4 linked regions of the Drosophila melanogaster genome follow. The protein of the gene in region 2 interacts with the protein of the main gene of each other region in a pairwise test. Each region holds a gene or a part of one and is shown on either strand. Other genes may lie near its edges.

Region 1 (4,775 bases), 3.8 Mb from region 2:
AACAAAAAGAAAATAAAGCGTCGAAGATATGCTTTCTATCAAATACATTTCAAGTTCAGGTCTACCCTACAAGTATTGTGTATAATAATTAATTAGGAATTTATAAGGAATGTACCCTAGTCTCGAAAACCATAAGGAATACTTAACCATGGTATTGGACTTATATTTCTGAAACGGAAGTTTCTTATAACGATCAATTTGTGGTGTTCTTCTAAATGTTAGTCTTATTGGGCATATTGCAGCTCCTTTTCGTTTTGCTGTTCGCGCTTCGGCTCACTAATTAAGTCAATTTACTGACAAGCTATTTAACTAATTTCCCGGGGTTTCAAAGACTGCTGTTGTAAACTCTAGTTAGAGTAGAGTAAGTCTAGTTACGCTAGTTACTCCAGTTTGTCGAATCAAATCGGGGAAGTTGAAACTCAAAGCAGAACTAAGGTAATGCAAACCGAAGTGCAAGCTAGGTGATGTCTCAACTTGTTTTAGTGTCATGAACAAGTTGTGAGTATCTTCTGTCTAAAGTGCGGAGATGTGGCTGATAGTGTTGTTGCTTCTGGAATATTTTTAATGCCGTACACGTCGCAGACATAGGCGGACGAAATTCTGTTAATTGTTTTCATTAGTCACTGCAAAACGCTGTCTTCCAATTGACATTATAAGTAGGTACGTGTGCTTATCCCAAGTAAAGTCCCCTAACATCGCTGTGGATGGCAGTTTACGTAGTGACGATGAGAACCGAGAGTCTGATCAGAGCCATTTATGTATATCGTGATCGAATAATCTTTTGATGATTTAAATCTCTTGTTGAATGATGATTAGCTAGGAAGAAGGGGGAGCAATTCTAGTTATAATTCTTGTATTTATAAAACAAGATTTGAATGACATTTTCCAAAATGTGTTTGTCTGCAAAATTTGTTAAAAAAAAGTTTAACTAATTGCCATTTTAGGACTTGAGAAGTGTCATCGTCACTTTAATCCCACATATTTGGAGGTGTTTTTTATAAAGTTTATATACAAAATGTTCGTATTGTACAAACTGGATTGCTACCAGATTAAGATACGAAATCTTGCTTTAATCCAGGAATTGTACGGGTATTGTTATTGGCGCTTAACTGTAATGTAGTAATTGTTTAAAATATTCGAAAACTGCCCAAGACATTTTGGTATTCAAGCGGCGGCCTATCTATCGGTTAGTGGCTTTTATGGTCGGTAGAAGTATATATATGCATATATATGCATATGCATATATATATATATATAATGGGAGTCAGACAAAAGTGTATGCCCTTCTATTTTGTATTTATCAATACATTTAAACCGTTTGTAATGCATTCAATAGCAAACATAATAGCAAACAATAGTATACATATAAAGGTATACTTTCACGTAAATGTAAACGTTTACGGCTCTTTTCCTAACACTTGGCTTCCGCAAATCGCAGTTGTTAGCACGCCCCATTGCGCTATTCGATGTGGAAGCGAGATCCTCTTCTAGACAAACAAACTTTTGTGTTTAAATTATTTATAAGTAGAGAGTAAGCGGTGTGAGCCAGAGCTGCGGCCACGCCGGCGAGCGTTGAGCGATTTAATGTTTGGGTAAGTTTTGGCTGAGGCTTCTTGAGGCTTCTTGAGAGTCGGGCCTCAGATCTCGGATCTGCGATCTCAGGGGATTGGCGTGTAGCCTGTAAATTCGCTGGAAACGCGGCTACGTGCGTGGCATTTGAAGAACGGTGAGCGCGAAAAAAACCCAAATGGTTTGCATATGTAAATACGGAAAGCGAAATCCCAGCTTACTGTTTGAAAGTATTTGCCACCTTAGTGGCATCCGCCGAGGAGCGCCTGAGTGGCTCCAGTCCGGGTAAGAACAATGAGCAAGCCCTTCTGGGCGGTTCAATTTATGATGTCCAATTACAGCCAACGCGGAAGCGATCGTCGATCTGGAGCCATTCACTACCATTATCCCATTATCGATCAGTAAGTCACAAGACCTCGAAAGTCGGTCCCAGAAGCGGTTTTCGTTCGACCACCTCGCCTGACTGGGAAACACTCAAGGAAACTTTTTGCCACGATCAGGATGCCCTGCGACAAGTCCAAGGCCAAAATCGGGTCATTGCAGATCCGGTTTTGTGCGAATCGTTTCCGCACTTGTTTCGAGTTGCCTTGGATTACCATTTTGTATATTTTTAGTGCAAGAAAAACTCTGGCAATTATTCGCGAAGGGCGCACTAATTGCGCTTCTGCTACTTTGGACCCAATGTCAACGGTGAAAAGCTTTACGATGCTGGCTAATTCTTATGCATTATCTCGAGGGGTCAGCAAAACAAAACCTATCGGTATATTGGGAGTCAACAGTCCAGAAACCAGAACAGCTGCTCAAACAGCATACAAATCCGCCCAGCTGTTCGTGGTCTGCCGCTGCGCTGCCAGTCAGGCCAGGGCTAAATCCCGCCGGAATCCCGCCTGCGACCACACGTCGAGGATTCTCCAGAGGTCCTCAGCATCGGATCCTCGCTGGGAATCAAATGCCCCACGCAAGCTGATTTTGTGCAACCGCCAAATGGCAGGGTTGCCACACCATTGGAAACACCGGATCGAACAGCCCGATTGGCCAGTCAAATCGATTAGCTCGGACGATCTGCGCCTTATAGCCGGGCAGATTGGCCAGAGCGGGGAGGTGTTTTGGCGTGGAGAGCGCCGTCCAAAATGCTTATTGTGAACGGACCAAGCGCCGCGCAGTTGCAAAAGAGCGAAAAACAAAAATCACATGTGCGAACAACTTACAGCTTACCACTTGCAAACAGCTCGAAATCCGCAACGGAAGGCGGCCAGCAGCAGCTCGGTTGGTAAATCGCTGGCAACCGAAATCTGAAAACTAAAAACTGCAAAAACCACAACACACAAATTGCGCGGCCCGAACTATTTCACAAAGTGTTGCCAAAGAACTTTGTAAAATGATTACTTTCGCAATAGCTTTTGGCTCTTGGCTTTCGGCTTTCGCACACGGGATCGGTGACTGCGTCTGCGATTAGCGCGCGCTTGACTTCTGAATGAAAACTGAGCCGCGATCGCGCCGCGCGGCTAATTAAACGCGGATCGCGCGACGCCGACGAAGCGGAGGCGCAGGCGCAACCGCGAGCGCCAGCGCAGGGAAGAACGCCACTGGCAGCGCAGCGGCTGCGGTGGAAACGTTACGGTCAGCGGCAAGCACCGACCGAGTGCAGTGCGAAAACTTTCCGCCGCCGAGCGTCAAGTGCAGTGCACGAAGATGGCAAATGGCCTGATTGGCTCTTGGCTATTCCCGGACACCGGGAATGATGCGACTCGATTCAGATCCGGAGATCCCGAACCCAAGACCCAAATCTGAACCCGAACCTTGTTTTTTTTTGTCTGATGTCAGCGGCGCAGGCAAGGTTCAAGTGTGGCTACCGTCGCAATAGCAATCGCACACTGCCAGCGAGTAAATATTACATGGAGTGAACTTCCGAACAGCCCCGATACCTGGCCTTTCACAGCGTTAAATCATCCATGTTAATTACGAGGCGTACGATTCCTGCCCGTGTAGGTGATCTGGCTTATAATCATGGATACGCACAGATATACGGCCTTATTCGAAACTTTGGGCCAACCGTATGACCAACAATTAAGAATTGCTTGGAACATGATGAAAGAGTTTTCGCAAAATATGGGGTGACTTAAGATTTATTGTCTAATTATCCTACAATTATATGTTCCAAATCGATAGTATTTAAGAAAATAGGGGTTTTATTTTTATAGCGGTCGTTACTCGCAGCTTTTGCCTGAATTAATAGTTTTTTTCCAACAGTTTTTTTAATTCTCCAAAGTTCATTCCTTGTAAACGAAATTCGGATACTTGGTAGTAATAATACAATTGATAATTGGTCAGGGTTCAGTGTTTGGTCACAACGCATCAAAGGGCGCGTGCCAAAGTGAGCTGGGAAATAGTTATTATTATCTAACGCTAACACTAGCCTGAAGTGCCGATAGTCTCCGTCGCAGCTCCAGCTCCAAATACGCCGGTGCATTATGATGCATTAAGTTATGTCAACTTGGCTAACATCGCGCCCTGTCCGGCTGATGCGGCAAGAGTCGAGAGCCGACAAGGTCAAGAGGGGCTTAAATATTAGCCTGTACAGCCCAGCTGTCGCCGCCTGTTAGCGGATTTGTTTGCCAAAAATTAGTACGCGTCTATTAAGTACTGGCCCATTTGTACATTAAGTCAGTGGCAATCTGTATTGTTATTTGATTTTTTCGATTGTTTGGTACGTTTCTGCACTTTTGCACAGCCGAGCGTTCAACGATCATCGTAAAAAAAAAAACAAGAGAGATCTTGACGTTTATACGGTCTATTGGTCCTGATGAAGTAATATGTTCTTTATCGAGTCAGAAAAGAACATAAACTGCCTACCTATAGTCTACCCTTTGACTCTACGGGTAATGGGTATTACATTTTAATCTGTTGTTTGAGACAAAACAATTGTGAAAAGCAAATAATCATTTGCAAACGCGTTTTTAATGACATGTAGCACAAATTATGGGCTTAGGTAAAGTATTTCAAAAAATGCTTTTTAAGGGACGAACAAGACGCCCAAAAGGTTCCAATTTAATTTTAACATATGTTTGGTAGTGGGGCTCAGCCAAATTTTTTTTTACTTTTCTCAAAGTCTTGGTATGTAATCGCTTGATCTTTTACGCTAAGATCGGACTACCATAACCGCTTTAAATTTCTTTCTTTTCAACGAATCTACATATATACCCTTT
Region 2 (3,059 bases):
GATCCAAATGGGCGACAGCTGGCCCTAGAAAGAGATAGAGACGGAGATCGAGATCGAGATCAGCCAGTTTTTTTCCTCTTCCTCTCGCTTCCGCAGTAAGCAAAATTATTTTGACCTGCCTACCGCACACTGAGCGAATATCCGAAGCGAGTATCTGTGCATCCGTGAGATACACCAAAGCATCGCATCACACATCTCTCTCGTCGTTCACAGTGCAGCAACGAAATTTCTACGACTCTTTATTTCGGCTCTTGCCGCAATTTCACTAAGAGTCTCTGAATTTTATCTTATTTTTACTGCTTGTAACAGTTGTTGCCCTGCTGATGATCGCCTTGGTAGTGTAGCTGCACAAATTCCGCCTACTCCAACATCTGTTCAGCTCCTCCAGACATCTGACGGATTTTGATGACGTAGATCGCGCGACTCTTGTCTATTGAAAGCCGAGCTCTGAGCAAAACAATCTTTTTACATCTGGCACATCGAAAAGGCTAGTCACTGACTATTAAATTATAAGCTGAAATGGTTTTTACTATAGATTTTAAAATAAAATCATTCAGTGCGCCAACAATTTATTTATGTTGCAGGCAAAATTCTGTGTTATAGCATTAATCATCGAGAAATATAGTTTAAAAAATATTTCTATTAATGCCTAATCAACGATGGTCATTCCCATACGATCAGTGATATAGGACTTGACTGCTTCGAGTGCAACCTCTTGCACATGCCGGTTATTTAGTATTAGTCTTGCGACATCTCGAACGCGTACATTTCTAACTTCGGATATGGCCCTGATCACGTGCTGCTCCAGTTCTCGACGCTGACTCTCCGTCAAATCGTTCAAAATGACCTCACTTAGAGATTTGAAATTTCCTGGAATTAAAAGACTGATAAGAATGATAGTCACCATGTAACGCTAGACACTCTTGCCCTCCGTAAGTCCGTAGGCGGTGAGACCACCGATGGCCCCGCCCAGTGCCAGTCCCCGGGGGCCCAGCAGTAGTCCTCCGATCAGCGCAGCGCCAGCACAAATTGCAGCTCCCTTGCCGGCCTCCTTGATGGTCAACTGGATATTTTTATCGTCGGCCAGTATAGCCAGGGCATTGATTATCTCTGAGATGGCTGAATCCATATTTTCAATTTATGTATATTTCCGTTACAAAGTTTTACTTCTTTCCCGGTGACGATCTTTCTAACAACTGAGTACAATCACGTTGTTATTTCGTTATCAGTAGTGCAATAATTGTATATCCGCCACTGTGGAGGGGAGTTACTCGATACAAACCAAATCATCGAAATCAATTTTAATCTATCATTGCAATCAAGCTTCGCATATGTACATATGTAGATTGAAAGCTTTTTTTTAGGAGTACCCGATATCAGAACCCAAGTATAAAGAAATCATAATCTTATGGCAGTGCATCCAATGATTTAGCAGGCATGGAATGGAATTTTTTGAACCGCATGAATAATTACATTTCCAGTTGAAATCCCAAATTACTGGTTAAAAATACCACAAAGGCTTCCAATGCGGCACATTGCACTGTAAAATCACGCTTGAAACACTCCACAGCATTTGTAGCGACACCAACTATTTTTATAATAGCTGCCTTCACAAAGTCAACCAATTCTGCCAGGACCCTCAAGGTCAAATCCGCAATTTTCTCATACATCCAGTAGATAACTCCTACATTTCAAATACAATTGATATGATAGGTAGGTAATCGTTTAGTGTTTTATACTCGCCTTCTGTAAGTTGACCGTTTATGTTTATGTTTATGTTTATATGCCGTTGGCGGAACTTACCTTCCGAAGAACCTTCAAGGTGTTCCCTTTCCCTTTTCCTCCTCGCCGCGTTCAGGAGAGTCTCCAAAATCATTTCTAAGTCAAGATTCACCATTTTAACAAGTTTTCTGCCTGACGAATTATGGGTTCTAACGCGAACCAAACTTGTTATCAGACTTTTTTACCAGCCAATGGTATCAATAGAAATAAACGTTTGGCCAAACTTTAAAAATACCATATTTTAATACATGTACTAATAAACAAAATAATATGTATGTAACAATAGTTATCGATATGCGATGATCGATAATCTTCGCAAAGGGTAGCAAAGGTAAGAAAATAGGACAAGCTTAAAGTAGAAGTAGAACAAAGCGAGTTGAAGGTTGTGTAATTAAAAAAAGATCTTAAAGCCGAAAGTTGTCGTGTCCGGAGTAAGGAAAAGTTGTGTAGTCGTCGTATGCCCGGAGATCAAGAAGTGTTGGCACGAGTCATCTTTTTATTAAATACCTAATATAATAAGCAAACTATACTTCTATAAAATATTAATAAGATAAACAATTGTGCTAAACAATAAACATCCTACATATATTTTTAAAGAAATCTATGCATTTTTAATATTTTAAATAAAATTTTTCCTATTATTATTGTGAACACATTCCTTTTTGTTTGAGTTTTAGCACAATTCAGAGGAGTTCGTTTATATTTGGCGATTGCTTGTCAGGATTTAAGCATTAATTTGAATTTAATAGTCTTTACCTTGAGCCATATTGGCACAAGTGATATTGTCATGCACACATGTCGGAAGATTCGCATATCAAAGGGCCGTCTTCTTTCAGAATTCGGCTGACGTGCCTAGATGGCGTTTAAAAATCGCTGCCGGATTGTCTTTAATTTTGATTGATGCACCTTTAATTGCGTGGGCTTCCAAGTGCTACTGCTGAACTTTTGGGTAACTGTAACTGAATCAAGAGCGGATCGCTCTTAGCTGCTGGGAGCTAGCTAGCTAGCAGTTGTCTACTATGTACATATAAATATGGGATGCTTGAGGTTGAAGGATCGAGGTTTCCGCCTGCGACCAAATGGCGTGTCTTGCTCACACAATGCCGAATAATCGTTATTGTTGCTGGCTGTCTGCAGGACGAGCCGCGTGGCGTGCGAGTGAAAGCCAGCGAAAAGGACCCACTGCGGGGCATTGGCCAAAGCGAGATAGAGCCAAGGCGCAACATATGCCATCTTTGGCCGGTCTTTTCCTCCTCCTCCCCTCATTCCTCCAGCAG
Region 3 (4,359 bases), 3.9 Mb from region 2:
GGCAGGAGGAGAATTCTATGAAGCGCACATGATGTATAGGACGCTGTATTTTCGGTAGACTATTTGTATAATCCGTGCAAGGAAATGCAATCCAATAAGAAATTCGATTCCTTAGGTATACGGCGCAGAAACGCTATCAGGACTGCCTGGAACTGCTCTTTGATGGAGCACAGCAGCTTATTGCCAAGGAACAGGAAAGCAGCGCCGCGGACCTATGTCTCCTTCTGGTGGACACGTTAGAGAAGCGAGGACCACAGGCGGAAGATACCGACAACTTCCTGTGGGTTCCACGCCTAGGGGCTTTGATCCGCGGCCTTAACTCCGCGACTGTAGAGCGCGAAACCCTTATTGTGAGTCTTTGACATTATTAAACGCGACTTATACCGGCAATGAAATTTTTTTTCCTTTAGCAACGGACCATTAAGTGGAGCACGGCCTTGCATGGCCAGTATGGCCACCCAGTGCTCCATAAGTTAATTGCGCACGTGTTTTGGACCGAGGGCAACATTGAGTCGGCTCGTCACCACTATCTACTCTGCCAGGATGGCAGCCTATGTGGGCGAGTGCTAATTGAAATCAGCCAGAGCAGGGGCTTCCAGGGCGAGATGGACTTGTTTCTGGTACAAGCTGTGCTGCAGCAGCTATCCCTTAAGGATCGGAAAACTGCAGAGGACACGTTCACTGAGTACACACGCTACCACGCCAAGCTGCTTAAGCATGAGTTCCCCTATAAGGAACCGCTGGTCAACTTCTTGTACTTCCTATTCCGTCTTATTGACGCGAAGCGTGTGGCTGGGTTTCGGGCCTTACGCAAGCTTTACGATCCATCCCTAAAGCGCGACACGTCTTTTCTAAAGTACGTAGCCAAGATTGGGGTGCTGTATTTCGACGAGCATCCGGAGGCTGCTCATTCTGGCCCGCCCGGGTTGGGCGGAATGTTTGGTGACATATTCAATCGCCTTATGGCGGGCTTTGAGGAAGATGATGCGGACGATCATGACACGACCCTGAGGCGGCAAAACGAGAATAACGAACTGGAATAGCATGTATGCATTAATGAAGCATACCGAAGAGGGATCCTTTGTTGCTGGTCTTTTTGGTTGCTCAAAGTCAATGAAGTTCTTTGCCACAAAATCATCGGGCTATTTTGTTATAACTTTAAATTGCTGTATGCTAAATAATTTTAAATAAGCGTATGGTCTTGATTATGCAAATTATAAAAAAATAGTTATTCAAACAAAAATCACTATGACAAGTTCTCAAAAATCTTGTTTTGGGAATATCTTTTGAACTGGTAATTGGATTTTTGTGCTTTTGTAGTGCTTGCCTCCTACGCACAATATCCGGGTGCGCTTCGTCACAACGTGAAAATACATCGCGATACATCCCATAGTCGACATTTCGAGGATGCAATTAAAATGGGAAAAAATTGTAAAGAAAAATTAATTAATTGAAATATTTGAAAAGTTTTATAATTTTATAACATTTGTATTTCCAAAAATAAATAACCAGCATCGAAAGTCGACATTGAATATGCGGGATCAACCCGGCTTGTAACATAAAAGCAGAATCCCTTATTTAGGTGTAGTATAATTTGTTCTCATTTCCCTCCGTTTTTGTGTTATTCTGTATTGGCGGAAGAATTCAGAAAAGTTGTTTTTCCAAATTTAAATTATGTATATTTTAAGTCAGTAGTGGACTAGGTAGTAGAATTCGAATACGTGTGAATATTTCGTAAGTAGGTCAATCGTTTTTAAAAATTATACAATGTATCTAACTTGTCCTTCTGGAATCGACGGCTTAAAAATAATACGACGAAATCCCAAAAAAATATTTATGTTGCGATATAAGTGTGACCAGCACAAGGGTAAGTTAGCGTCGACCTGGAAAATACAATCTGAGATCTGGTCCGTCCGAAAAATCATTGAAAGTGCCCTGGTAGAATAAATCAGATTGGGTTTATTTAGTTAGTTTTATTTTCGTTGAACCACCCAAAATAAGAGTAAAGTTGAGAAACGCTCAGAATTAAAGCCACAACCTTTAACCGAAAAGGCCAATCACCGCACAACAAAGCCGAGTGAGAGCAAAGTAAGCAGGACCTTAAGGTTGGGCCTCTGTGCATCGATAAACATAGGACATTGTGTTATACTTTCAGCGAAATGGCCGACAAAGCTGCAGCGCCCTCTGTGGACTGTGCGGCGCCATCTGTGGACTGTGCGACGCCTGCAATACCAGCCGTGGAGGATCACACCACGCTGACCGTTCCACCTGCTTCAGCGAACAAAGCCACGGACGCTTCCACTTCCACTGCCGTCCAAGTGGCCGTCGATGGGGGGGAGCCGGAACGCTGCTGCTGGATCTGCTTCGCCACCGATGAGGACAACCGTCTGGCGGCGTGGGTGAAGCCCTGTCAGTGCCGCGGCACCACCAAGTGGGTGCACCAGAGCTGCCTCTACCGCTGGATCGATGAAAAAACCCAGAAGGGTAACGCTCTACGCACTGTATCGTGTCCGCAGTGCCAAACGGAGTACATCATAGTGTTCCCGCAGATGGGCAAGCTTGGAGGTGCTTTAGAGGCAATAGATAACCTCATCAAGCGCCTGAGCCCCTTCCTGGCGGCTGGTTTCTTCGTGGGCTCCCTCTACTGGACAGCAGTAACTTACGGAGCAGTCACATTTTTACAGGTACAACCTATCATTTTTAATCAGTTGTCATGCTAAGAGAATTAATTGTCTGTAGATTGTCGGACATGAGCACGGCATGTCCATAATGGAGTCTGGAGATCCGCTCGTTCTCCTTATTGGGTTGCCGGCTATTCCAGTGGGGCTTGTGCTTGGTCGATTGATTCGCTGGGAGGATGCATTGTTGCGTCTTATTCGAAACCGCGGGACGGTGGTGCGGAAGTTTCCTTTTGTAAGCCTTATTTATCCGAACCTGTAAGTGCATCAACAATGTCAGGGTTAGCAGACTTTTATTACTTTACATTTAAGCAGCAGCCAGGAAGAGGAACAGCAAAGCATCAGCAATCCGGCCACACCGGCTCTCTCTGACCCTGTCTCAGCCACGAGGGTCTTCTGCGGCGCTCTCTTGCTGCCCACCATATCGTCGATCGTGGGACGTATTCTCTTTGACACGGTTGATAACACATTGCATCGTACTCTGCTTGGAGGTCTGACCTTTATAACGGTCAAGGGAATTCTGAAAATTTATTTGAAGCAGAAACAGTACGGCCGCCGCAAGAAGCGCCGAATTGTGGACTACACTGAGGAAAATATTCGGAACTTCATGCACCGCAACAATAACTCGGCAGCAGCGGCGCGGCAGGAAAGGCTGCCCGAGCAGAGGCCAGTGCCACCAGCGGAGCGAAGGGACGCTGTAATCACACGTCAACGCGGCGATAGTGGTGGTAGCGTTGTCTAGAAGTAATTGGATTCAACTGTAGGGCCACTTATTTTCTACGAGTTATGGTTTGTTTTAAGTTAATTGTTTTACCTCTTGCACTTTCAAGACGCTCACATCACCACCTAATTTAGGTGGACAAAAATTTTTAATTGTCTGCAGATAACAAAGCTAAATTTATTGTTAAAGTACACTGTTTAATGGCCGGAAAATAAATGTACATTAAAACGCTGACGCTGACTAGCCCTGGAAAATAATTTGTGAAAAATCCGCCATGTCCTTGCGTAGATATAACATTGATATAGAAGATAAAGGATTTATATATGTATATGCTTCCACACCTTTGAATTTATACGTTACCTTTTTTATAAATTAAAAAGTTGCCTCTGTAAATAAATAATACCCTCGGCTGTGGGTGAAGTTTAACTATTTAGTATATTGTACAGAAAAGCTGTAGTGATCATTCATTGCTATCCAAATTGGTGGTGTCAGTTTTGATTGCAGGTGCTAGTTACGAAGGTGGAACAAATGAATGTGTTAATGCGTTTACTAAATCCCTTAGGCCCTCGCCGCTGCTGAGTCACTAAGATTCTTGACAATGAATCCGCACAGTAACCGCCCGGCTGACAAAGCTTGTTTTTACATACGTAGAAGATGTGATTTCTTACATCTGGTCAAGTTTGTCTGAATCATATACAACACATGTACCCTTCCTTTAACTTGGCTGCGAAGTTCGAACGATCGAGCGAATCAATATGGGAAAAAGCGTTCAGTTTGGCTTATGCGTTTAGTAGCTAAAGCGAAGACAATATATACTGTTAAAGAACTGTCCGAAGTGAACGCTCCAAAAAGCGATATAATCATTTATAATTGTTAGCAAGTTTTTGTTTGTTTTGTCTATTTGCGCTTATCACCGGGAGCACAAGTAAGATACGTGTGTGCATTTGGTAGATACGCTGA
Region 4 (3,254 bases), on a different chromosome or scaffold from region 2:
ATGCACATGGCCGCGAGTGTGCTAGTCCCGTTTTTTTTCGTTTTTTTTCGTTTGTTTGTGTTGCCTCGGGCGGCAACTTTAGTGGCAACGGCTAACTTTTAGCAAAAGTTTTAGCAACGAGTACCTGCAACTAACTAAAACCACAGGCACACAGACCCAGAGCTCGAGCGCCGCCCGCAGAAGTTTCCACCACGCATCGAACTATGAAAATCGGAAAAGTTTGCAGACAGAAATTTCCAGCCATGCATCCGCACAATGGCGAAGTGGACGACGCAGTGCGTTCCCCCCGCAACTCACCGCACCGTTCGCCATCGTCATTAAAGCTGGACTCCTCCGCAGGCTTAAACCAATGCAAAAATCCACAAAATCGACACAATTCCGGCAAAAGTAACGAAAATCACACGCGGCGCGCCAAACAAACTTCCAAGAACCAAAGGAACTGTAAACGAACAGCTGTCAAAGTGCGCGCGCTCCAAGAGACGGGGCTGTTATGCGGCGAACAGCTGATGGCGCCAGGGCTGCACAGCAGCGGGCTTTCAAAAGGCACAACTACAGTGAGCACACGAGCAGGTGAACGTTAATATTTAATTACTTGAGCTATTTGAAAACCTCCGAGTTCCTAATCCGCTCCTCCTCCCTCTCCTTGGCATCCGAGTCCGACTCGGAGGACGAGACCTGCCGCTTCCGGCCGGAATGCTCCGATGGCTGGGCGCTGGTCAGCATCCTGGCGGCGATGCGCCGAAAGAACCAGAAGCGACTGAGATAGGCCTCCGCGCCCCGGCTGATGAAGTACAGCTGCAGTGGTCGCTTGCTCCGCTGTGGATGCATCTTCTGATTCGCCCGACTGCGTGAGTGGGAGAACATGAGATCCAGAGCGAAGGTGCAGTGCATCAGATAAATGGCGCCGGCGTACAGAGCCACAATGGCGTTGTCCCGACAGCACGCATAGAAGCTGGGCCAGCGCTCAGTGCGGAACTCCTCCAAAGTGGCCACATACATGTTGGCGTACACGGTGACCATGTGCAGGCCACCCAAGATCCCACCGAACAGCGCCTCGTGCTTCATCGTCGGCCGCTCGGCGTAGAAAGCTCCAATCAGTGATATGAAGCATATGATCACCGAGCCGCCGTACGTTCCGCACAGCAGGAAGATGTGCGGCACACCCTCCTCCATGAAGCAGGTCCAATGGACGAGGCAGCAGCCCAGGCTCAGCAGCAGCTCCATCATCTTGAACAGGAACCAAACGGGCTTCTTGGAGCGCACCTGCATGTTTGCCCGATTAAATGGTTATACTACAATTGTGACAAGATATATAGTATATGTGGATACATTTGGTTCCGCACAACGGACTTTTAGCTACAGGCCACCTACGACTAAAGCAAACTTACGACTAGGATTTAAAGGATAAATAATATTAATAAGTATTGATAAGTATAAGGTATTAATCTAATGTACACTTTTGATGTTAAACAACTCAGCTGAACCGAACTAGGATTACTCGCTCCTCCCACAATTTCTTGTGCAAGCAATGTCCTCTACTTCCGCCAGTATTGGGTGAACCGATGAATCTGCTCCACCAGAGCCGGCATCACCGCCGTAATGGACACGTCCAGGAGGCTCTGCAAGTGCTGCACTGCCTCCTCGTCTGTGAGGCCCAGCTGCAGGTTCTCCTCCACCTTCTTGACCGCCTTGTCGGGCTCGAGAGCGATATCCGGCACAGTGGCGTCCACCATCAGAGAGAACAGGTTGAGCATCACGTTGGCATGCCGCCGCAAGTGCAGGTACGCCGTGTAGCACTGCTTGCGGAACTCGTGGTGATGCTCGGAGCTGATGCCGCCCATGGCCTCCACCATTTCCTTGCTCAGCTTCATTGGCGGCGGCATGGGCTTGGGATCGCGTCCCAGAATGTAGCCGAAATCGATGTGGAAGAGCTTGCCGTTGGTGGTCAGCAAGAGGTTGTCCAAGTGCCGGTCGCCCACACCTGCGAGGAAATTCCAAGGATTAGCGGAATCCACCTGGTTACACTCCTTTAGTCTCACCCAGCAAATAGGTGATCACACAGTAGCCCGCGCAGCTCTTGATGTAGGTGTCCATGACCTCCGCCGAAATGCCGTAGGGTCCATTGTCGCACGGATGATGCTTGCGGAAGAAGTTGTGGATGTTGCCCTCCCGCGCCAGCACCTCCGCCACGGTGCAGGAGTCGACGTACTGGAGGAAGCCGTGCTTGGAGCTGGTGGCCAGCACTTTGTAGGGAGTCAGCTTCAGGTCGAGGTTCTCGCGCCTCAGCAGCTTGTCCATCAAAGTTATCATCTGCAGGATGAGCTGATCCTGGCGCAGATCATCACCGTGCTTGAAAATGGCCGCGTACTCGTGATGGGCAATCGAAGTGACAAAGGTGAGCCTGCGAATAGGATTAAGGATTAGGATTGAAGTATTCAGTGAGTGAGTAGAGTTTGTTGGTTGGTCATGGCGTACTTGGCTGGCATCAGGGCGCTCTTGAAGAGCGATGTGCGCATGGGCACGATCTTGGTGATGTAGATCTCCGGATCCAGGGGAAACGGAATGGGCTCGAAGTTGGTGAAGTTCACCTTGAACATGTCCTGTTCGGCCAACAGTTTCTGGAACTTCTCAGTCTTCTTATTGCGATTTCCCGGCTCCTTGGCCACCAGTTTCACCAGTTTGACCAGCTCGTCGATGAAGCGCCGCTGCTTCCGGAGGTTGTAGAAGATGCCTCTCAGGTTGAAGTTGCCTGTGCGGATGAGCGGATTAGAGAATTAGGGAATTAGAGAATGAGCCATGATTTCGTTAAATTACACCCACCGTTCTCTAGCACCTTCAGAAACATCTTGAGCACCATGGCGTACATGTCGTGGGCCCTCTCGTCCTGCTTCCTCACCGACTCCACTTCCTCCACCTCGATGGACAAGTACCAGTAGAAGTAGTTGGCCAGCGTGGCGTTCGTGCAAGCGCGCTGGATCAGGAATGTGCAGAGATTGGCTGGAACACTGCCGAAGCTGATGCCCTCGGCCAGCATTAGGGCATTGGAGTTTGAGTCGCAGGGCAACGAGCTGCTGCCCGGAGTGGCGGGAGCAGAGGGGTTTGGCAGCGCAACCGATCCCTGACCACCACTGCCACTGCCACCCGCTGAACCGGGACTCACTGACTTATCGCTCTTGATGGCGGCCAAAACACTGGCCGCTCGCTGATTGGCCGGAATGACCGAGCCGTGGAGTCCACTGCTCGTGGCGCTCAGA

What was found.
Region 1: the proteins of Nazo (region 2) and CG31522 interact in a two-hybrid assay, tested with the Drosophila melanogaster proteins (one large-scale study listed by BioGRID).
Region 3: the proteins of Nazo (region 2) and CG9855 interact in a two-hybrid assay, tested with the Drosophila melanogaster proteins (one large-scale study listed by BioGRID).
Region 4: the proteins of Nazo (region 2) and CG30184 interact in a two-hybrid assay, tested with the Drosophila melanogaster proteins (one large-scale study listed by BioGRID).

What each region holds. Positions count from the first base shown.
Region 1 is NT_033777.3:4,459,843-4,464,617, forward strand, and holds the start of CG31522 (uncharacterized protein), read right to left. Parts: upstream 3,042-4,775; 5' UTR 2,785-3,041; exon of another isoform or gene 2,778-2,784; intron 1-2,777.
Region 2 is NT_033777.3:8,286,109-8,289,167, reverse strand, and holds Nazo (nazo), read right to left. Parts: upstream 1,293-3,059; 5' UTR 1,130-1,292; coding exon 928-1,129; intron 871-927; coding exon 650-870; 3' UTR 555-649; downstream 1-554.
Region 3 is NT_033777.3:4,395,437-4,399,795, reverse strand, and holds CG9855 (uncharacterized protein), read left to right. Parts: upstream 1-1,920; 5' UTR 1,921-2,088; intron 2,089-2,155; 5' UTR 2,156-2,159; coding exon 2,160-2,684; exon of another isoform or gene 2,685-2,739; coding exon 2,740-2,936; exon of another isoform or gene 2,937-2,993; coding exon 2,994-3,420; 3' UTR 3,421-3,817; downstream 3,818-4,359. Other genes in the region: CG9853 (uncharacterized protein), read left to right, coding at 1-54, 116-350, 411-1,043.
Region 4 is NT_033778.4:23,562,094-23,565,347, reverse strand, and holds CG30184 (uncharacterized protein), read right to left. Parts: upstream 1,376-3,254; 5' UTR 1,270-1,375; coding exon 598-1,269; 3' UTR 568-597; downstream 1-567. Other genes in the region: Pi3K59F (phosphatidylinositol 3-kinase 59F), read right to left, coding at 1,536-1,981, 2,040-2,401, 2,476-2,749, 2,821-3,254.